Oreochromis niloticus: one gene and its partners. The protein of the gene in region 1 interacts with the protein of each later gene in a biochemical or structural test. Links are inferred from orthologs where the notes say so. Each region holds a gene or a part of one and is shown on either strand. Other genes may lie near its edges. The genes, in order: acvr2ab, erbin and bmp7b.

What was found.
Region 2: the proteins of acvr2ab (region 1) and erbin interact in a test that uses a peptide from one of them, tested with the Homo sapiens proteins (2 studies listed by BioGRID and IntAct). The link is inferred for Oreochromis niloticus from reciprocal best matches to the Homo sapiens genes ACVR2A and ERBIN.
Region 3: the proteins of acvr2ab (region 1) and bmp7b are reported together in a solved structure, tested with the Homo sapiens proteins (2 studies listed by BioGRID, with this or other methods). The link is inferred for Oreochromis niloticus from reciprocal best matches to the Homo sapiens genes ACVR2A and BMP7.

Annotation. Positions count from the first base shown.
Region 1 is NC_031986.2:18,295,989-18,303,547, reverse strand, and holds the start of acvr2ab (activin receptor type-2A), read left to right. Parts: upstream 1-4,482; 5' UTR 4,483-5,426; coding exon 5,427-5,481; intron 5,482-7,559. UniProt on the Homo sapiens protein: On ligand binding, forms a receptor complex consisting of two type II and two type I transmembrane serine/threonine kinases.
Region 2 is NC_031972.2:13,430,095-13,437,833, reverse strand, and holds the start of erbin (erbin), read left to right. Parts: upstream 1-4,718; 5' UTR 4,719-5,382; intron 5,383-7,739. Other genes in the region: nln (neurolysin, mitochondrial), read left to right, coding at 326-461, 1,324-1,690, 1,828-2,029, 2,118-2,304, 2,386-2,514, 2,726-2,862, 2,951-3,100. UniProt on the Homo sapiens protein: Acts as an adapter for the receptor ERBB2, in epithelia. By binding the unphosphorylated 'Tyr-1248' of receptor ERBB2, it may contribute to stabilize this unphosphorylated state.
Region 3 is NC_031984.2:13,769,525-13,777,221, reverse strand, and holds the start of bmp7b (bone morphogenetic protein 7b), read left to right. Parts: upstream 1-4,604; 5' UTR 4,605-4,922; coding exon 4,923-5,322; intron 5,323-7,697. UniProt on the Homo sapiens protein: Growth factor of the TGF-beta superfamily that plays important role in various biological processes, including embryogenesis, hematopoiesis, neurogenesis and skeletal morphogenesis.

The DNA of each region.
Region 1 (7,559 bases):
CAGGTGTGTCCACCTCCCCCTCAGCCGCGCCACAGCCCGCACCCTGCCACACAGCCACTCTGTTAAAGATTTCCTGCTGTGCATGAGATCCTTGTCCTGTAGCATGATGTTGTTTGTTATAGCCAAACATCTCTACTTTGGTCTCATCTGTCCAAAGTTCAGTGTTCCAGAGGTCTTGTGCTTTGTTCATATACGACTTTGCAAACTTAAGCTGTGCTGCCACATTCTTATTAAAGAGAAGAGGCCTTCTCCTGGAAACCCTTACAAATAAACCATCCTTCTTTAGTCCCTTTCCAATTGTGCTGTCACAAACTTTAACATTTAACATGCTAAATGAGGCGTGTAGAGTCTGAGATGTAGTTTAGCGTGGGGTGAATTTCCTGGGACGTCCACTACTCCTGGGTGGGAAGATTGTGGCATTATGTTAACACACCAGAATGCCCCAGACCAGCAAACAGCCAAAGCTGTTTCACTGTGCTGTGCTGTGCTGATGATTACTTAGCAGTACCTGCTACTAAAGCTCAGATTATGGGCTAGCAGCGGTAGCATGTTGGTGGTCCAGTGGTACTGATACACTGTGGTCTACCTGCAGAGAATTTCAATAAACAGTGTCAACAGACGCAGAGTACAAAGTATGTGGTACAACCGGTCTGCTGGCCACTCTTACTTGTGCTGTTGGTGGTTGATCAGCCAGCCATGGAAAAAAACAAATTTGTAACATACAAATGAAAACAAGTGTTAAAAAGATGAAAGGTGTCCACTGCAGCCACAGTCTGTACTGGTCACACTGTATTTTTGATGTTTTATATTTTGTTTTGTTTTTTTGCTTTTTCTTGCTTCTCGCCTTCCTGCTGAACTCAGGACTACACAGAGGCACATTCACTGTGGGTGAAAACTCCTCTCTATGCGCTGTCTGCATGGAAATCATGCAAATGGATACATTGGCAGGACAGTATTTTAACCCAAATTGTGATATTTTCTAGCCAAATACCAAATGTGACTTAAAGTAACCAGTGACTGAAAAGGAAACTTAAAAATGGTGATGATAAAAATCTGAAGTCAGTTTTGAAGTGGAAACAGTCCCATGTGTCATTTCAGAAACACTTGAAAAATGTTTGTTTCACTTCACTTACGAACTAACGCCGATAAGATCATGTAGTTGGACGACTGGTTAGAGACATTTCCATGAACTCAATCAAGAAAGTGAAACTTTACAGAGGTCGAATTATTTGTCAGGACACCAATGTGAAGCAGACTTCAAAATCCCCCAAGAATTAAATTAATGTTAGTGTTTATTAGCAAATGTCAAACACAAGGCAACAAATATTCCTTGTATACTGTGATTTCTAAGGGAATAGTACTGGTTTTCTTGTATTGCATTACTGCCCTGTTGTGAAGTTCTTAAATCAACCCAATTCATCCATCCGTAATCATTTTCCAGAATGGCGCCTATCCCAACTGTCCATGGCCAAGAGAAGGACAAAGGGTCACCCGAACAGACTGCCAGTCAATCGTAGGGCCGACACAATACAAAATAAGGCAAATTAAACATTTTCAAACTGAATTGAAAAATAAGGCTTTTAAACCAATAAAAACTAATGAAAAATAAATTATTTTACTTTAAGGTTTAACTTCAATATGGATGCATCCATGTTCACCTTTTAGAGGTTAGTTGGATGGACTTGGATTCAAGCCCTGGAGGTCAGACTGAAGTTCATTTAGGTTAGGTTATGTGTGACATTTTGCTCTAGAAACCATTTTAAACGGGTCATGTGACTCTAGGCTTTTTCTGTATTTTTGTTTGTTCATATTTTAGTTACCAGGATTTATAGGAAATGTTATGGGTGAATTTACATTGACGTTTTTCCAATTTAGAAATGGTAAAGTTTTAAACTTTCCAGGAATTTTTGGAAGGTTTCTCTTTCATTGAGAAAGGGGGAAAGATACATGACAAGTTTAGATAACAGAAATATAAGACATCATCTAGAAAACAAATCTCAGTCTCAAACATATGGAGAAGGTCTGGAGAGAAGTACAACAGTAAGAGTCTACAGTCGTCTGTAAAACTCGGTGGAGGCTCTGTCATGGTTTTGGGCTGAAGACTAATCCCTGAAGACGACTTAAAGAAATGACAAAAGACTTACATTCTACATTCTTACGTTCTACATTTTCCACAGGGTGTCTGTTTTCTTTAATATCTTCATATTTTCTTGGACATCAAAATCAATCAACCCATAGGCTCATAGATTGTGAAACTCATTTCAGTCACATGATCTTACATCTCAGCTGAGATGTTGCCTGCAAACTGGAACTTTTCTATTAGCTCCCGATCTATTTTCTTACCACTTATTCATCTCGGGGTGATTTATTTCACAATACTGGTGATTTACAACAGGGTTCTCAGTTATCAGCTTACAGCACATGCTAAAGAATTTGCTTCAAAATGCCTCATCAATTAGCAACAACACAACCCATGGATGAATGAATCCTGTAGGTGTGGTATAGGCTGATCATGAAGCTATTGTTACAGCAGCTCATCCTAAACTTCTGTAAGTGAATTAGTTAATTGTACGTGACGCAAGAAAGGAGTGTGACAATCTGATTATGTGGTGACTTGGTGACCACAGCTATGCTCACAGCGTGCTGACACATACTCAGAAACAAGCCTTTTGATTCATGTTTCTAATATCTTTGAAATGATGAACATCCTGTTGGGGCTGCTTTCGCTCTTTCCGGAGAGATTTCATTTGTGATGAAAGTTTGAAAACGCTGCTAGGGGAATAACATTGACAAGAACTAAACTCCTCACCCGGGCTTTGTCAGTGCCTTGAGCCCCAGCCATTAAGCTATGTACAGGACCCCGTGTTTTGCTGAAGATGAAAGCCAACACTCCAATATAGAACAGGTGACTCAGCTTCCAGCTTGGCAGAGAAATCCCCCGAGACCTTTGACCTCCTAATCGTTTAGCAGCGCTTATGGTTGGAGATCTGCTCCAGGCTATTAGAGAGATTAGTGTCACACAGATCTGGGGATGGGCCAAGCCTATATCTGTACTTCATGGTATTCTCAGCATTTATTACTGAACACCCAACCCATGCTGAAACCTGATATATGTAGGTATAGTAGCACATACTGGAAAGTGAGGCTATATGTAGCCTATGTGCGGCATGTGTTGACCTATATGAAGTGCTGAGCTGTATAATGAACATACTGTTGATTAGAAAAAGGACATTTTTTATGTAGTTTAAACCTCAACAACACCACTGTAGATGGCTGTAGTATAAATAGTTTTTCTTTTAACATAAGGTGTATAAAATAAGTACACGTTGACTAATGATATGCAATATAGCATGCACAAAATTAAAATTAATGCAAGTTATTGTAAAGACTTATAAATGTGTAACAAATTGGGCAATTCTTACTTTGAAAGGATGTTTAAAGAAATGTGACCGCCCCTCTTTTCATTCTACGGCACGCACTGGAAAGCAAAGCTAACAGCCTTCCCGGACAAAAACAATCCCTAGCTCATAAAGCAGATCGATCAAGCTGGATAAAGTTAGCCAGATTGGCACCGGAAGTTGACTAGCAGTTCTTTCAGAATTAGGGTAAGACCCCCCCCCTCCCTCCAATAACATGTCAAAAACATTCAAAATACTAAAATACATTTGTTTATGTGATTTTATGTGGGGTTTTTAAAAAAAAATTTTTTTTTCTTATTCATACAAAGTCCATTAATAACAATGTACTCTGGACCTCAACATTATTGAAGCAATGTGGGATCATCTTGATAGAGTCTTCATAGTGCAGTGGTTTACAAATTCGCCAAACATGCTAAATATCTCTGGTTCATTTGAGGGAAGAGACAGTAATCTCACAAATGGCATCCAGAGTCAAAATCTGCCAACTCAAAGACGTGGAGCTACCTGCTGTGGCAACTCCTTGTGAATAAGGGAGCAGGCAAACGTAGCTCCTTGACAGAAAACAGAACAAAGGGCAGCCAACATCCAAAGAAGAGCTTTGAATGGTTTTCATAAAGCCTGGAAAACTATTCCTGAAGACTACTTCAAGAAATGACAAGAAAGCTGCCTAAGACAGTTCAGACTGTGTTGAAACACAAAAATAAAATCTTAAATAAAAATCTTAAATCAAATCATTTTCAAACATTTTGAGAAGTCTGTTAATTTTGGGGGCAGATTTTATAAATAATAATGGAAACAGTCACTTACTCAGGATTTAAATAAATGTTTGCGCCAAAGCCTCTCTGGGCTTTTTATAAAATGTATAAAATTGATTTTAAAAAGACATCTAAACATCTATCTAAAAAGAAAATCATACGTTTTTTGCTTCGGTTGCGTAGTTTTATTTTTTATATCAGTGAACTAAAATTTCTCTTTACAGCCGTTCGTTTACAAGCGTAAACGCTGTGGTTTTTATTTTGAAAACCCTCGCCGGAAGCTCGTTGTATGAGCTGGGTAAGCCTAACAGGGTGCCAGTGACGCCATCTTGAAATCGTCCCGAGCAGAGGAGGCGAGGAGGAGACGGACTTGGGAAAATCAGCTCGTCCTAAACTCGACAGCTACGCGGATTAACGGCAGCTTCAGCGGCTAGTGCTATCATATGATAGTCTTTCCACTTGTTCATTCGAATCTTTTGGACCGGGAACGGTTGTTTGGCCCACTTTGGAGAGGGCTGTCGCAGCGGGAGGGGGGCAAAGGCAGTCTGGTAATCGGTTGTTTCCCTGCTGGAGCGGACGGAGCCGTGGTTGTGGCCGGGCAGCCCCGCCGGACCGTCGGACGAAGCCTAAAATCTCTGCACGGAATATAACACCTAAGATAAAGCTTTTAAATCCTTTTTTGCAAATAGCGGGAGAGTGGAAATGCTCCCTTTCGACGCAGTTTGGACATTTTGAGAGCTATGCGACGGAGCTCACCGAGGAGAAGTTTGATTGGAGAGCGGAGTGCGTTTGATTTGCAGTCCGATGGATGTTAGCCCTGCCCGGCTGTGGCTCGGGTCCGTGCACCGTTCTTCTGAAAAATAGCACCACCGGGCACAGGTGAACAATGCTACTGCTGCAGACCTGGCAAGTACACGATAACCCCGGCTCCAGTGCCATCAGTTCACCCTGCATTGCTTGTGTATAAACCTGGAAATACCAGCGACCATCCCCTCCTCCTCCTCCTCCTCCTCTTCTTCATCATCCTCCTCCCGTCTTCTTTTTTTGGACTAGTGAGGCTTGCATTACCTGGGATATTTTGGATGTAGACTCGAGCTTGACTTTTTTTTTTTTAAGATGCAATATTTCCAGAGACAACAAGACATTTAATTTGACTCAATCGTTTTGAGATTTTTTTTTTTTTAAATTCTGGAGCTTTTTGTGCTTTTGTAAAATTCTCTTTCTAGTCAAGAGGATCCAATTCGGATGGAAAATGGGAGACGCCACCAAATTGGCCTTCGCCGTTTTCCTCATCTCCTGCTCTTCAGGTGGGTGTGGAGGTGGGGGGCAATGTATGTTGCGTACGGTCAGCCGTGCAGTGCATAGCTTGCTGTTATGTGTAAGGAGTGTAACCTCTTTTTGGGCATCATTGGCGTGCATGCAAACTACAGGTGAGCCCCAAGATTGAAGGGGGGGGGGGGCTCAAAGGGCCCTTGAGTGGCTTCCTGTGGGACACACGGGTACAAATTGGAGTTTTTTTCATGAAGTTAATGAGGGAGCAGCCAGGGATTTGTGTTGATGAAGTGCAAATAAAAGGTAATCAGTCACCATTTTTTAAGGGGAAAATAGGCATTGATGTTTAATCGCGTTGGCCAAACTGGATGCATGTGGCTTCTTTCTACATCTACATGCTAAAAGCCATTTTCAGCACTCTGTGTTGGTAGATGTCCATTATATGTACTTATTTCCCCGGGGTGGATGTTTAATGAATGTCAGTGTGGTGATAATAAAGGAAAGAGAGGTCATCTCGGGAGTGCAGGGCATGCTGTTTATGTGGGCGACTGGGAGAAATGCTTCACACTTTACTTTTTTACTTGCCAGAGTGTTCCGAGAGCAATTGTTCTTTAGGAAGAGAAGTCCTTGAAGTTTGTCATTTTAAATCTACCTTTTGGGTTTGGTTTGATAGGACAAAAGCCACTGAATTTTATTTATTTTTTTAATAGAATGAGAATAATATAGTTTGCAACAAATATAAAAGAGGAGACAGACAAGCAATTATATAACGTAATAGATGATTAAAGGGTAAAAAGACGGAAAAATCACATGACTAAAAGCAAGGTTACAAAAATGTGTTTTTACAGGAAGTCACAGATTTTACGAGCCTTATCTGCTCAGGCAGGTTTTAGAAAGCCAAGGGCTCCTGATGGGAGAAGCACCTCCACTTCCTCAGGTGGGGCGCTTTCTAACAATGTGAAGTAGGTTATATAAGGGGTCAGAATTTCTGCTACTTGGCCTTAAGCATGAGTAGGAAAATCTAAAATGTACTGGGAGTCAAAGGATTGGGATGATGTGATGCCGTCTGTACCAGTAAGAAGCTTCGCTGCTCCGTTTTGAACTGTTTGGAGGTGAGAGAGTGGTGTTTCATTTGCAGTAATTTAGCCTGGAAAAAGCACAAGAATGAACCTTTTCCAGCTAATATTTTGTTTAATTTTAATAGTAGATGTTATTTGGAAGAAGCAGGAAAGGAAACTTTTCTGGTTCAAAGGTTAGAGCTGAGTACGTTTCTGACTGCTGACTTTAGGGTTCTAGGACACCTTCAGAGTGGTTTGTATGATTTTTAGATTAGGGAAGAACATGATGTATGACTTTTTTTTTTTTTTTTTTTTGAGGCATTTAATTAAAGAGAAGTGTGTGTTTTAGGGATCATAAGGTATCTATTTCAAATCTATTTATCCTAGGGAAAGCAAATAAATAGGACCTATAACAGGACCTAAAATCGAACCTTGTGGTATGCCACAGATAATGCTCAATTAAAATGCTAAGAGGGGTCACGAAACTCCAGCTCCACACTCCTTTTTGATCCATCTCCAACATTTATCTTTTGCCTGGACACCTTCTCTTAATTTTCCTAAACCTCAATACTGGTGGAAATACACACATAAATGGCTAGTCCTAAATCTCTCTAGCTGTGGATTCAAATATTTAAAAAGCATGAACTCTCTCCCAATGCTGTTGGCTTCTGGCTTCGTATCATTAGTCTGACATGGACTTTATTTAAAAAAATAAAACTTTTAGTATGTTAAAAATTTTACCGGTGCTGTCTGTCTTAGTTATTATAAAAGGAGACTGTTTTTAATTTGAGTAATTTGTGTAAACATAGGTAGGACTCAATGTTTCATACATATTAGGCTTATACATGCTATTATCATTGTGCTGATAATAAAAAAAGTAAATTATTGTTATTTTAGTTTTATAATTTGCAACAAAACATGAAATAAGTACCAGTTATTAATAAATAAGTCACTGTAAAGGCGTTGGATGTGGTCAAAGGTAGTAAAGTATCTAATTTATGCTTAATAGACTGTCACTATCAGTATAAACCTTCAAAACTGGCTATTTTGATAGT
Region 2 (7,739 bases), on another chromosome or scaffold:
AACAGGCCCTGGTGTTGTTGTGGTAGCTACTCAAGCCACACTGGGAAGCTTTTTCCTTTAATTTGTCGCCTGCTCGTATGTCTAAATGACATACAAGGATACAATCAGCAATTGCTGTCACTTTAGCACATTAATGAAACAAGCAATGTTGCATATCCCATGTCTTGAGAGGGCTGAAGTTGCAGCCCAGAGAACCTGCTTGGTGAAACCACATATTACTACTGGTTACCAAATGTGTCACAGAATCAACTCAGGCTGGAAACCTGTTTTAATAAGCTTAATTAAATGATTTAACTGAGCTGCGTCTCTCGTTTTTTTCCCCCAGGTAAACACGGCAATCTTAGAAGAGTTGATACAGCTGCGGGCGAAGGTTGCACACTTACTTGGTTACGGTAGCCATGCTGAGTATGTGCTGGAGATTAACATGGCTAAAAATGCAAGCAACGTGTCTGACTTTCTGGGTATGGTCTCTTTGACATCTGACCTCGCTGCCACACACATACACATGCAAACATTCCCTGTCATTTAAGATGAGCTCTCCCGCCTCCTGATAACTGCCTTAAAGTAGGAAAAGAAACTCAATAGGACAGATGAATGGGTGTGCAACTCCACACGCAGTCACATAACATGCAGGGTGAAATGTAATCAGTTACTAATGACAAATTACACAACATCAGCTTTTTATAATTAGTAGTGGCTGTAATCAGGTTGAACAACTAAAAGCATGTCTTTAATCTCAAAAAGTGAAATAAACCAGAGCTCACAAAAGGAGCACAAGAAGCACAGAAATTCAAGTCCAACAAAGGAAAAAGACAAGACTGTATACATGCACAGAGAGATGCTCAGTAAGAATAAATCATAGAATCAGAACAAAAGCAAAAGGTTAAAGTACAAGAGGCACAAAGAAAAGTTTTTCCCACAGTAAAAACAGGAAGTGTAAACTAGAAAGACAAGAGAACTAACAGAGAGACAAAGACAAGGAAGCAGTGGGATACTACAGAAAGAAGAAGAAAGGAAACATAAGAAATGACATAAATAGAATCAAAACAGGAACCAAAACTCAAAAAATATCACACAGGAACCCAGAACCGCACTAATAGTTTTCAATGCAAACAACAAATTTTGAATATTCAGCATTTGCAGATTTAGAACAGATTTCCTCTACAAAAACGTTCAACTTTCATATTCTTTTTTTGAGTGTGCAAAGGGAGTTAGTTTGATTTGGGCTTTAAAAAGAAGATAAGAAAGTAGACAGCAAAAGGTTCAAAAAAATTGCATGCTTCACATTCCGACTAAGGAGTTTTTCTTTTTCTGCCTTTACAGACAAGTTCCATGAAACGCTGAAGCCCGTGGGAATCAAAGAGAGGAAATACATTCTTGCGCTGAAGAAGAGGGAGTGCCTGATGAAGGGCTACCAGTTTGATGAGAAGATTAATGCCTGGGACTTACCCTACTACATGAATCAAGTGGAGCAGCGCAAGTTTGCTGTGGACAAGGACAAACTAATCGAGTATTTCCCTCTTGATGTGGTGACAGAAGGGCTGTTTGGTATCTACCAGGAGCTGCTGGGTCTCATATTCACAGAGGTGGAACAGGCTGACGTGTGGCATGAAAATGTCAAGCTGTACTCAGCCCGGGACACTGAAACAGGGGAGGAGATTGGTCAGTTCTACCTGGATCTGCATCCAAGGTAGATTATGTGTCATTTTTTTCAGAGACAAGATAAGATCCTGTGTTTGATGTCTTTATGAAGTGTGAGCTCACTAACATTCACTAGAGCTCTTGATCTGTGTGATAGACTTCAGCCTGACTGTGACATTTCACCAGGGAGGGAAAATATGGCCACGCAGGTTGCTTTGGGCTCCAGCCTGGCTGCAGAGGCCCCGATGGAAAGCGCAGGCTGCCGGTTGCGGCCATGGTAGCCAATTTCACCAAGCCTAGAAAAGGTTGTCCTTCTCTCCTCCAACACCATGAAGTGGAGACCTATTTTCATGAGTTTGGTCATGTCATGCACGAAATCTGCTCTAAGGTCAGTCGCTATGTTCAGTCAGGAAGTTATTGATATTTATATACTGTGTGCTTATGAATAAAAATTAGTTTTTCTGTGTATGCGTCAGACTGCTTTTTCAGAATTCAGCGGAACAATGGTGGAGACAGACTTTGTGGAGGTGCCGTCTCAAATGCTTGAGAACTGGGTTTGGGAAAAGGAGCCTCTGAGAAGAATGTCCTGTCACTACAAAGATGGTACCTCCATCCCAGACGAGCTGCTCGACAAACTGATTGCCTCCAGAGTTGCTAACACTGGTCAGACACCTAAACTTTGCACAAAAAAGTCTGTTACATTTATGTGTAAGTGAAGAGTCTCTGTTGATGTGTTCACTTCAGGGCTTATGAACCTACGTCAGGTAGTCCTTAGTAAGGTGGACCAGTCGCTTCACACCAGCCCACGTGCAGACACTGCTGAGGTGTTTGCAAAGCACTGCCAGGACATCCTGGGTATTCCTGCTACACCAGGTCAGCTTTAGCTTCAGCTATTTAGAATATATTTGAGAAATTATTGCATTAGAATTTCTATCAGTGATGCGGATTTACATTTTATAATAAACAGTCCACTCTGGGCATTAGTAGTTTGTATTCAGTGTTTTGTATGAAGCGCACAGACACTATCGTTTTTCTTTTTTGGAATTTGTATTAGCGATTTGTAACAAAGATCTGCTCTCTGCAGGAACCAACATGACAGCCAGTTTTAGCCACTTAGCTGGAGGATATGATGGTCAGTACTATAGCTATCTATGGAGCGAAGTCTACTCCATGGACATTTTCTTCAGTCGTTTTAAAAAGGAAGGCATTATGAATCCAAAGGTTGGTTTTCTGGTTGAACATTTCACTCTAATGATGTCTTATTTTTCTTGAAACTGTCTTTATATGTGCATTTATGCCCTGAACACAGGTTGGAAAAGAGTACAGAAGAGTGATACTGGAAGCTGGAGGCTCTGTGGATGGGATGGACATGGTGAAAACCTTCCTCGGACGTGCGCCGTATCAGGATGCCTTTTTCCAATGCAAAGGACTGGTTAACTCACAAGAAGCATCAATGTAATCTGATGTGATCTTTAACTGTTTTTGTCATTATTATATTATATCTGGATGCAGGTAAATGTCAGTTGAGAAATAAGGTATTATTACTATCTTCAGGATTTCATACTAGAGTTCTGTCTGCCTTTGTTTAAATGTCCAGTACATCACGACAGGGCCTCGTCATGACATGTTCAATGTGTTTTACAGCCTTTTTAATTCGTCATGGCAGAGGTGTTACTAAAACAGTAAACCAGGGATGTCAAACTCATTTTAATTCGAGGGCCACATACAACTTCATTTGATCTTAAGTGGGCCAGACCAGTGAAGCTCAACTACACATTAAATCCATCAGATATCTTCATATATGAACAAGAAGTGCAGTTTCTACAGTTTGTCTCATTTTTATTTCTACAGTTTGTCTCATTTTTATTTCTACATGATGAAAAAATTGTGCCATACTAAATACAAGCACAATTTTGGGGGGTTTAAATTGTAAGAAATTTATAAAATTACAGAAAAGGTTCTGGTTGCTCATTGCCAGGACTGTCCTGTAATTATAAAGCAGAAAGCTTTTGTTAGTTCAGAGAAAATGATCTGTTTCTCTTTATTTTGTCTTACTATGAACCAATTGAAAAAAACATTTCTATAGTAGTTACTGAAAAAATGGGAACTACTTTTCTGTCATTTATTTGTTTATCTTTTACATAATTACTTTGGTGTTGTGTGGATGACCATGGTGCTGTAGAACTCATGTCCATAATTTAAGCCCTCCACATTTTCCAAAGCCATCCAGCAGGCCAAATTGGAGTCCTTGCCGCCGTTTCTGGCCCCTGGGCCCTATGTTTGACACTCGTACAATAAAGAATGGATATTTCTTTATATTAAAGAATATGAATAATATGGTTTCCACAATAGTTCTTTTTCGAAACATACATTCTCGTCATTAATTTCATTACTTATGCCATCACTTCTGCTGTGACATGTCAGAATTTCCTTCCATGCAGTGATCAGATATGTCAAGGGTACAAAAATAGTAACAGCAGGCTTAAGTTACAGGTATCCAAGTATAGGCGCTAACATACCCTTACTAGATTTACAATATAGTCAAAAAACTGTTTTCAACTGCTTCTTTCTGCTGCCACATTATATTACATTTATCAGCTACCTACTCTTGGTGGCCTGACAACTTCATTAAGTCGTTTAGAGGGTTGACACTAGACGTTAGACTGTTCAAGCCTTTTACGTTGAGCACACCCGTCAAACATTATGTGGAAAATTCTACCCTTGAAAGGCACTTGGCTATTTTAATGGATATATCTTTGAGCTATCTTTAAATCTCCAGAAAAAAGGCCATATTATTCTATTTAATTTAAATTTCCAGTGAAATGCAAAAATCTTCGCTGGAGGGCGCCACGACATAACAAGAGTAATGAAGGCTGCTGCAAACCGTACAAACACCTATTTTTTGTACGTTATATGTAAATGGGTTTAATAAAATCCCTTGTCGGTCTGGTTTGTATACGCATTTGCAGTCTGTGTGAATATCCTGTGTAGCCTATTTGAAAGGGAAAACAGTGTCAATAAGTCAATGCACAGAGGAAGATAAGCGGAATCACTAGCAGTGTCTGGGTGAGATAGTGAAAGCGTCGTCCCCGGGGCTCGGTGAGGCTGGAAAGGCGACTACTGGTGGACAGCTTTCTCCATGTACCCGCGGAGGTCGCAGAGAAGAAACTCGCCGCTTCGTGCTGTGCCCCACAGCCTCAATGTAGCTTCGTTCCAGTCAGTAGAGCTGCGTCTATTGTAAATGAGCAAAGACCTGGAAATTATGAGCGAAAACATCTGGGTGCGGCACACTTTAGAGGAAAAGGTTTCGCTGTGCCGGAGGTGGTTCGCAGTTTTGCCTTTTGTATTTCCTTGCTGAATGTAGTGGACATTTTGGATTTTTTTTAATGTTGTGTCATTAATTTGCATCAGTTAAGGACCATTTTTGCGCTTGTCTTCGTCGTCGGTTAGTCTGGCTGTGCCACAAGGCAATATTTTTATGTCTCAAAACAACTGAGAGGGACAACGTTAAACTTGAGGGCGGCTCGCTGAGGAGAATGTACGCACTGGGCCAGCTTCGAGTTGCTCTCTAAGTAAGGCAATATTAGCTAGCTGCTAACACTAGCCAGACCCAATTGAACTGTCGTGAAGCAAACCAGTGAAACCAGCTAATGCCCACTTCTCAAGGTGTTTGTTGGGTAGTATCAGCCTTCACATAAGCTGGATATCATTAAATGAGACGCTGACCCGACAGTAACTCAGGTAAGTCTCTTTGTTTGCGCAAGTTACTGCTTCTGTCTGCGGGGCCCCACACAGCATGCTAACGCTAGCTGTAGCGTTGTATCGCTGAGGTCCCATTCTCAGGTTGTCCCACTTGAAGTCTCGCATTAATGCGGTTGATTTTAAATGTGGAATTATACGATAATGTATTATCTGGGTGCTTGTAGTTTAGTAATGGCTGTGAGAGCATTGTTGGTTTAAAACAACAGGTTTTGGACTGTATTAACAGACTTGAGCATCTGTGTTTTCGGAAGGTTTCGCATCAGCAGCTGTGTATGCTGTTGCCCCTTTGCGATGTAGCTCACTTGGCACTAATTTATTCGCTTTAGAAAGCGGTGTAGTACATTTAAAGCTGTCAGTCTATAAGTGTTGATACTATTCCTAAAACCAGCCATTAATAACTGCGCCGCAATAGCAACACTCGCATCTTTTGTTGCGCCTACACCGTCTAGGACGGATTAGCGCGCCGTACTTATCAACATATTGGCGTTTTCATTTTCTCGCCGCTTCATTAATCAGATTAGTGTCCTCACTTAACTCCACTGTAATTTAATCCCGTTAAGATCCGGGATAAATTCAGGACTATTCTGAGGAATTTCAGCAGGTCTGTCCTTGCCTGTCGACTTGTTGTTAGTGTTCGTCATTCACCGCTCTGGGAAATGGTGTCAGGAGATGCAATCAGGTTGAGTCTCAGGGCACCTTGAAGGCAACGCTCAGGTAGACAAGTAATAAGCCCGGGATCGAGTGTCGTTAGTAAGATACCTAGATTAAATCCGCTAATGTGTCAACTTCTTACTGGAACTTAATTGACTATAAAGTACAGTTAAGAGGTGAATCGGAGATATTTCTGCATCTGTGTAGATTATCTTAGATTTCATAACATAACTTTACAAACGTACTGAACCAGGTGGAGTGTTGCCAGAGATAATATTTTGTAGTAGATTGAGATACTAACTATGGATGTCATGATAACAGATTGTCATTTAATGAAAAGTAATATTTAAACTCAAAATTCAAGTGCGTGGAGGTATCAAAGGCTACTGCAACCATAACTGTGCGAATACATACACAACTGCAGAACAATTACATGTTCATTTTCAATACGATACGTGCATTTTGGGCACAGTGTTTTGTAATTGAATTTTTCAATCTCACATGAATGTCTTCCAGGGTGATTTAAAACTCAAACGTTGAATTTGGTATTTGGAGCTGTCAGTCAAGCAAACAGAAACCTTATCAGATCAGTCTTCAAAGGCTCTCCCAGCTGTAATAAAATGTAAACAAAGACTAGGCTCGATCTTCCCCTGCTTGTCAATGTTATGGGCCCGTTATCTACAAGCTGATATTCAGCTATTTGGAGAAGATTATTCAGGTATTGGTAATGAAACTGACTAAAAGTGTATATATAGTGTAAGCAGAAAATTGCCCGAATTTTGGATGTTTTCCCAAAGGTGTTTGTTTACACTAATTTTGTATTCTTGTAGACACATTTCCACTCATCGGGAAAAGCTGTGTATTTGGTATATGGATATTTTGTATATCACTAACAGAAGTGTGTGTCGTATTCTTACAGTACACTGGTTTCATTGAGGTATTGAAGGCCTGTCATGGCATTTTGGTTATCAAGTTCCTCATGTGATCATTTACAACAGACCTTATCTAGAACTGAAGATAAGGTTCACTGTAACAAAGGCTCTTTCCTCTACTGTTCTTTTCTCGCACAGGTGGCAAAGAAGTGTTGTTCCACTTGCCTAAAAGTTTGTTGTGTCAGTCGGAGACAAGACACTGCCAAAAGCAGTAAAACTGTGTTTCTTATCTTTATTATACACCAGACATGTTGGCATAAGTGTTAATCCACAAATCAATGTCGGTTTAGCTGTGAAATTCTTCCATATCTCTATGTATGTTGAATTGGATATCCTTTAGTAAGTACACTGGTTCAAAACTATCTTTTTTTTCCTTTCGAAACAGCTCTAAACTGTTTGACTTCATGTTCTTAACAGAGTCTGGTTTACTTATGGGTATATCATGTTAAAAGTTTTTCTTAAACAATGAGTGATCCTGCTAAACTCAGAGTCAGCGGTATATCTACTGATGGAAAAGTGGCTGTACAGGCTTATCTATTTCTGTTTACATCTGGTGTCGGCTGTTAAACAAGTACGTAACATGGTGCTTTTCATTGTCACTGGATCTTAAGGTGTGTCTTTTCTGATGACGCTTTATACCACGTAGGAAACCTTTTTTTTTTTTTTTTCCTTCTCCCCCCTCCTTAATCTTCTGCTTCTGTGACCATACAAGTGCTCGTTTCCTCTTCAGCATGTCTAGCCTTGATCTGACTC
Region 3 (7,697 bases), on another chromosome or scaffold:
TAGGAGCTCAGTTTACTATATCAGACAGTTATTGCCTAATTACAGCTGTTTTAAGCTACAAACATTAAAAAGACATTAAATAAATACGACACCCTGAGGAAATTGCACATTTTACTTCATAAACAACCTTTCAGAACCTGTTTCTGTCTCTTGGTTGCATTGTGCTGCAGTCATGTCGCTTCATTAAAGCAGAAAAATGTGCTTGGATTTTACAACTATTAGGTCATCAAGAGTCCCCACCTTTCAGAATTGCTGGCAGGCATGCTGCGTGTGTTTGGAGAGGCGCTGTGGTCTTTTTTTTCCACAGTGTGAAGGCCTGCTCAGAGCGTGTGGGAGCCAGGATCTAAAGAGAAGAGGTCCGTGCCCCTGACCTGACCCTGAATATTTTCTAATGTGCAGCTTTACCAATGGTCCCTCTTTCCCCTGAGTGACTTTGACAAGCTGCTTCCGTAGTAATGTCTCTTAATTTCTGAGTAATTGCTATCTCTTAGTGATGAGGAACAACCCCTCACCCAAGCTGAAAAAATGTTAATATGTGGAAGACCACAGGTTGCCGGGGTCCTTTTTCTTCTGTTCCAGAAAGCCCGAGACCCCTGCTGTTCCTTTGGCCCAAGAGAGATTTGTGTCGAGTGTGAGGCCCTAACCTGAGGAGACAGAGTGCAACGAGTCATGTGCTTGTCTCGGGATGAGTGTTTGTGCTGGGCAGGAGGGGGAACATGGGGGAAGTAAGGGGCTGCAGGGTCAGAGGAAAGAAAGGGGGGGCACCCGCTGCAGGTGAGGGGGATTAGCTGCAGCTAGAGGCCCAAAGAAACTAAATACAGATCTGTCAACCTAATCCTCACAAATAGAAAACAGAACCACCCTCCCTTCACAATCCACATTCAGCTCATCCACCTCTTGCTCTTCTACCCCCCACTACACGCCAACCCTCCCACCTCCCCTCCACTTACTACCTCAGGCTCTGCTGCTCCTCTGTTTCTCATCAGTTTTTGGCCAGTCTGTGCTGCCTGCTCTCTAATGGCTCCTCAGACCAGCATCCCCTAAAGAGGGGCTGACTGATCACCCAGGGTCCTCTCTGATTGACAGACCAACATAGCCTTATGGAGTGATGAAAGCAAGAGTCAAAGGGGCAAGGCCTCTCGCTACACAGACAGGAATCTTAATGGGACCTCTGTCGAGAGTTGCTGAAACTGGGTGGACATTTATCAGGCCCACACACCTCAGTAATGGATGCCGATAAGTGTGTGGCTGGGTGAGGAAACCAGTGTCAAGCCTGGACTCTGTGCTGATGACACAAGTGACAGGGCGCCTGAGTGATAACATCCTATAAAGGATAAGCTCTACTAAGCTGGGCGTTATAGAAGGCTTAACTAAAACGGTATCTCTGATTGTCAGCAACACCAACTATAACTGATGGGTCTGGCTGGACTGCTGAGAGCTATAAATCAGGTTCAAGCTGCTCTGGTGATCCCAAGTGTGATATCAGCTTGCAGACAAACATGGGGTGGCAGGACATACCAGGTTGAAAGAAAGCAGTGAGTGATGGAGAGGAGAGCTGCAAGGTGCACTATTTCAAATAAGATAATCACATATTCCTCATTCGAAAATATCTGCAGATCATTTGGACGTGTCACAGTGTCATGAAGCTCATATATACCAAATTAAATTAAAGAACGACATAAGGGTTGGGTTGCAATTGCCAGTTCCAAATTATATGTAACCTATTTGTTATTGCTCAAGTCTAATAAAAGTCCTCTTGAATTTTTATCGCCGCCCTTTTTCATGATTATTGTACCTGGCAAAACATTACGTTTAGTTGTTAAACATTGAGTTTTGGTTCTTTGGTTGTTGAGCTTTACAATGTGAACTAGTTTGAAGCTGTTTCATATACCCACCCCCCTCTTTTCTTCTGCCTGTCTCACAGCTGTGTCTCATATGTTCATGAGGCCCCTGGAAGTGTGAGACACCAGAAGGGGAACATTTGCAATAGCTCTGCTCCACCTGGTTAGGCTGTTTTAACAGGCCGTCGGTTTGTGCAGCGCACACAGTGGGGTTACGCCAAAAACATAGACGAAGGAGGACAGGACCAGCAGACGAGGGAGGGGGCATGAGCAAAAAATGTGCCTCCGCCGTCTTGTGTCCTGGCACCCCGGCCCTACACTTCTTTATTTGAAGGTCAGTTTACCTTGAAAAAAAGTTTTACTGTATCGTCTGTTGGTCTACTTGGTCAGACCCCGCCCCGCCCCTCTTCCACCAAACCTCATCCGCCTCCCTGCATGCACAGGTCTTCAAAGGACTACTGCCTGCTGCTCTCTGAGGCAACACATGAAATAAATATTAATCTGACCTCTGACCGCATGCTTTGAGCTCCTAAGCAGAGTTAAACAGAAAGAGCATCAACTCTTGTCATAGCTAAAAAGAAGTAAAAAGAAAGAAGCAAAATATTTTGAAGTGTTACCTGGGTGCGAAAGCATTTCCAGGTATATTACGCTGCACCGCTGTGTGGTCTTCTTTGGAGCTTTGCATCATGCTCCAACCTGTTGGAGTGTAGTGGGGAGGTGTTTATTTGCTCAGATCCCCTAAGATCATAGTGGAAAGAGCGCATGTGTGTGTGCAGTCAAAATGCTCCAGGCCAAATGCTGGGTTTTAAAAGAAAAGACCTTTTGAGTTTACCATTATGAGCTCTAATAGAATAGCCCTTGTCATCATGGCTGCACAGCTGTTCAACTCAGCAGAGTTTTCTTCCTGAAAAGACTTACTCAGGTACACTGCATGTCTACGTGTCTACTTTTTTCAGCAGCTAAGCAGAAATGTTCCGTGTATGTTTTATTTTATTCATTTATTTTTTAACATTTTCTTTTACAGGCCCAAACAGAGTGTCTCACAATTTGTCTGGCTTGTGTATTTTAGCCAAAATATTCAATTTAGTGGGACACACTTGAGACAAGTTGTGGCTATTCTTTTGGAAGTTTGTATGTGTGTGTGTATGTGTGTGTGCATTACTGACAGGATATTCAAACACTGTTTGTTCTACTTTTCTACTAGTCCCCCTTGTCAAAGGCCCCTTAGTGCAGCTTACCCTGCCTGGCCTCTGCCTGTGCCCAGTGTTTACTGGGACTGTCACCAGACTCATGGAGGCCGAAACAAAGGGGGGTCTGTTCTTATTGTCCCGTCCAGGATTGTCAGCCCTTCTCTGGGCACAAACTGAACTGAGGGCTGGGGGCTGTTTGAAGAGCACTGGGGGCATCTGACCTCACCAGACTTACAGAAAGGGCATGAGAATGAAACAATGAGAAAGTCAAAAGAAAGTGAGAAACAGAGGAAGATGTATAGCTATAACCCAGGACCTTTCAAGTCCTCTGTCGGAAACTGCTGTTATGTAAACACCTGCAGCCATTAGCTGATTCTATCTGAGGCACCGGATAGAAATGTTTATATGTTACATACTACTGAAAGGCGAGTTAAAAGCAAATAGAGTATTAGATATACAAAATGAGTAGTGGCAGGCTATGTAAGCTTTAATGCTTTAAGCCATGTTGAATTGTCATTGGAAAAAAGAGGAGTGGAACGCCTTTGAAGACAAGAACAACCACATTAAATGGGCAGGAAGGTGAGCTAAGACCCCAAGACATGCTCTACCTCCTTTCCTCCCTTTCCTCTGTTTGCAATCATAGCTTAAGCTGTCTGGCAGCCTCTCTTGCTGTGCCATTGAAGTCTAATTTTATTGTCATAAAAATCACCTGGCAAGCTGTAGCCTGAAGACCCTTTGAAACTCCCCTCTCTGTGCAGTGAGTACTCTCTAGATAAAGCAGTCATTCTCGGGCCATCTGAAGTCCCTCCGCCTGTGTCAGTGAGAGCAAAGCGCACATGAGGGTCAGGAGCGTTCTATTAAAGTGTGGTGTTTAAGAGGTGCTGGTGCCAGGGGGGCAGATGGAGGAATGAAGCAGCTGCCGAACATCTGCACCCCTCCTTTGCAGTCTGAGCCCTGTGCACTGCTGCTTTTGTCACAAACTTCCTGCTCTAGCTCTGGGGATGGAAAACTAGGATATCTTCAGAAATGCAGCGTGAAATGGCAGTTGTGGGGCTGCAGTACAGCCTCTTTGACATCAAAAGATAACAGGCTTTAGAGTCTCAGAGCCACATGACCCAAGGCATTCAGAGAGTGCACCTGCGGATCAGCCAATTAACTATTGTAATGGCAGGACTGCAACTACATGTTGCGACCTCTCCTACAGTACTGAAGTATTCACTTGCAAAGTCAAATAAGAACTCTCTGATATGAAATCAGCCTTCCATATGTACACTCACCATGAACGGTCTGTTGTGGCTGTCTTAACATCAGTCATTAGTGAATTATCACGAGCCTACAGGTACTAGGAAATGTGGAAAGCATTGACGAAATGTGGTGTATAATAAACTGAAGCGTCATAATACAAATCCAGTCCTAATCCTTTTCTTATTTGCACATGTAGCCTCAAGGCGTTCTCCTACTGGCAACAAAGCCAGGCTAGCTCTGCTCAATAAGGCAACCACAACATTCTCTCTCTCTCTCTCTCTCTCTCTCTCTCCCTCTACTCCTCTTTGCAAACAGCGCCTCCTCAAAACTTGTTCTCGTCTCTCCTAGTGAAACCTGTCTGCTTGCAGCCTCCTCTCTGCAGTTGCAGGCTGCACTACAGCTGGTAGAGCTTGACCACAGGTTGCGCATGAGGACCGAGGTCCACGCGTCCAGGAAAGCAGTCAATAAAAGGACTTTGAAGTGAAGTTGATGTTTCACTCGGCAGCACTTCCCTCAACATGAGGGACCGTAACTGATTTTGGATATTAAACACAGAGTGCCTGCTGCTAAAAGTTTACTAACCATTTTTTTTTTTTTTTAGAGTTTCGGTGATCCGAATTGGGCGCAATTACGCACTGCGAGCATTATGGCACAGATTTTGGATAAGCGTGCTCCCGTTTTGCTCTTGGTTTGGAGCTACTGCGTCCTGGCAAACACTGCCTTTACGAACTTTACGTTGGACAACGAGTTTCACTCCAGTTTCATCCACCGTCGGCTGAAGAGCCAGGAGCGCAGAGAGATGCAGCGGGAGATCCTGTCGATCTTGGGACTGCCGCACCGGCCGCGACCCCACCTCCATGGAAAACACAATGCTGCCCCGATGTTCATGCTGGACTTGTACAACGCCATGTCTACAGACGGAGACGAGGACAGATACTCCTACCCTTACAAACCCGTCTTCACCACACAGGGTCCACCGATAGCCAGCCTGCAAGACAACAACTTCTTAAACGATGCAGACATGGTCATGAGCTTTGTGAATTTAGGTAGGCACTTTATTTTCTTAAGTCTCCCATCAAATTCAGTTTTATATAAATCCCCTCCCAGAAAAACAAGACCGTAGAGAATAATAAACACGTTGAAATATTATCAATGTAATCGTTGTTATGCGCGTCATAATAACCCAGGTCTTTTATTTGATTAATAAAATGTAGTACTATTATGACTGTCTTTATCTATTAATTATCAAACACATAGCAAGGACTTTGAAAAAAAAGCTTTTTTAAGGACAGATATCTTTGGCTTGACGATTATAAGTGTTGAGAAGTTTCATATGTTAATTCGCGTCGGGGTTCTTTTTTTTTTTAACAAGGAGATTTAGTACTTTTAATATTGCACTCTGCTTGATACATCTTACACATTGTTTTTGGGACAAATCAGGCTTTTAGTCATATGATATGTAAGTGTCAAAGGTGGAAGAGCAGAATGACTGTGGTGGTATTTTATATTCTCACAGTGCTTCACGTAAAGAAACAGCACAAGTATTTTTCTGATGGTACACCTGTGTCCACACAAAGGAGACCAGCACAATAACGACGTTTACATACTGCAGTTATCTAGCTAATACCAGGAGTGGCACATTCCAGTGTCCTTCTCTGTTAAACAGCTGTGCAACCAGCTAATGTTCAGGTGCTGTTCTGTGGATGATGGACCAGACAGCAGCTAACTTGTCAGCCATGTGTTATCTAAAGAATGAGTAAGTCAACAGCAGAATGAGTTCAAAGTGCACTGGGTCCTCCCTTAACTCTAATCTGGAGACATCCCTCACATCACAAATAATGCCAGCCAGTGATGTTAGTTTAGTCACAGTGTGATTTAATTAGATTCAGTTGTTCACAAAATAAATATCAGTGGCATAGGACATACTTCACATCAATTAAATTGCTTTGTTGAATGTTGTTTCCTGGCCCAATGTGCTTATCTAATCAAATATGTTTATTGAAATCGAACACTCCTGGATTTTTTATTGCTGCCAGCAACAGTCAGAGGTTGTTAAGTGTAAATAGTCAAAACATTAGCATGTGGTATCAGATTTATGGATTGATAAAAGCATCATTATAATTCAATTTACTTAACAAATTATGTAGTCACAGCAACAGCTCCATTTATGTTCCAGATGAGTAGCTTTTACATATCAATCTGGGACCAGACAGACATAGAAATAAATCAAATCTGTAGGAGGCATACGGATGGTTACAGTTTTTGTAAGCCAATACATTTTTTTTTCTTGACTTTCTGCAAGCAGTGAGACATTTACATTCAATCCTGGAAAGATCATTGTTGGAGTGTCTTGGCAAGAGAGAGGGAGGTGACACTGGCTCCTCCACTGCACTGTGTAATTACTGTGGGAGCTGCTGCATTGTGACTATTTTTGACAGGCTGTGACACAGATGGATCTGACCACAGAGACTCAAGACACAAGTCAAGGGCCTCGCAAAGTCAAGGGCCAAGACGGCACTAAGATGGCGAGAAAGAAGGGAGCAGGGAGCCTTTGGCAGAGTGATAAAGTTCCTCTGTCTATTTTGCAAAGGTCTTTTTAGCAAAAAACTTTTGCAAGATGGCTTACATCAGCTAGGGAGAACTTTTTTATTTCCTATGTTAACAAAAACAAAGTCACACTGCCCTCTTGAAATCTTGTGGCTAATGTAATCACTAATGGCATCTGCTCAGGTTGAGTCTTCCTCACAGCACGTATTTAGTCTTCCCTCAAATGACACTCATTTGGATATAAACAGCGCATTCATGATTTAATCTGCCACGTGTTAGATCTATCAGTAGGGTCCATTGTTAGGCTGGTTCCGTACTCTCATGTGATACCATCAAATAGACATCCTGGTGGCTTTATTCAAAACAGCAGATAATATGCAATTTCGTTACCCTTTACACGAAAGGGAGGGAGGGAGAGGGAATTCACTGAGAAGAAAGTGATGGCTTTCAAATGGATTGACTATTTCCTCTCCAAATTCCTTCCTTTCCACATTTGCTCGTTGTGGTTTTTGTTTTCTTATTTAGGTTGTCTGAGAGCAAAATGAGTGTAGCTTTTATTTAAAAATTGTCCCTCAAAACTGCATGTCTCCATAGCTACTGAGCCAAGGTACATTAGTCAGACTTTGTACCCTGGGTGCTGCTTCCTGAGAGGCCTGTTTTCATGCACTGTTTGCATTTAAATTTATGGTCAAATATGGGAAAATGGATCTGATTTTAGAATTGCCATCAAAATCAAAGATCCCTGAGCTACTAGAATAGTCCATAGAATGTAAAAGAATTGTTCTAGCTCTCACTCTTCCTTACTGATTGCCACTCAACGGAGCTGATACACTTTGTTGTCAGCTTGTTTGAGTATATGCAGAGACCAATGCAG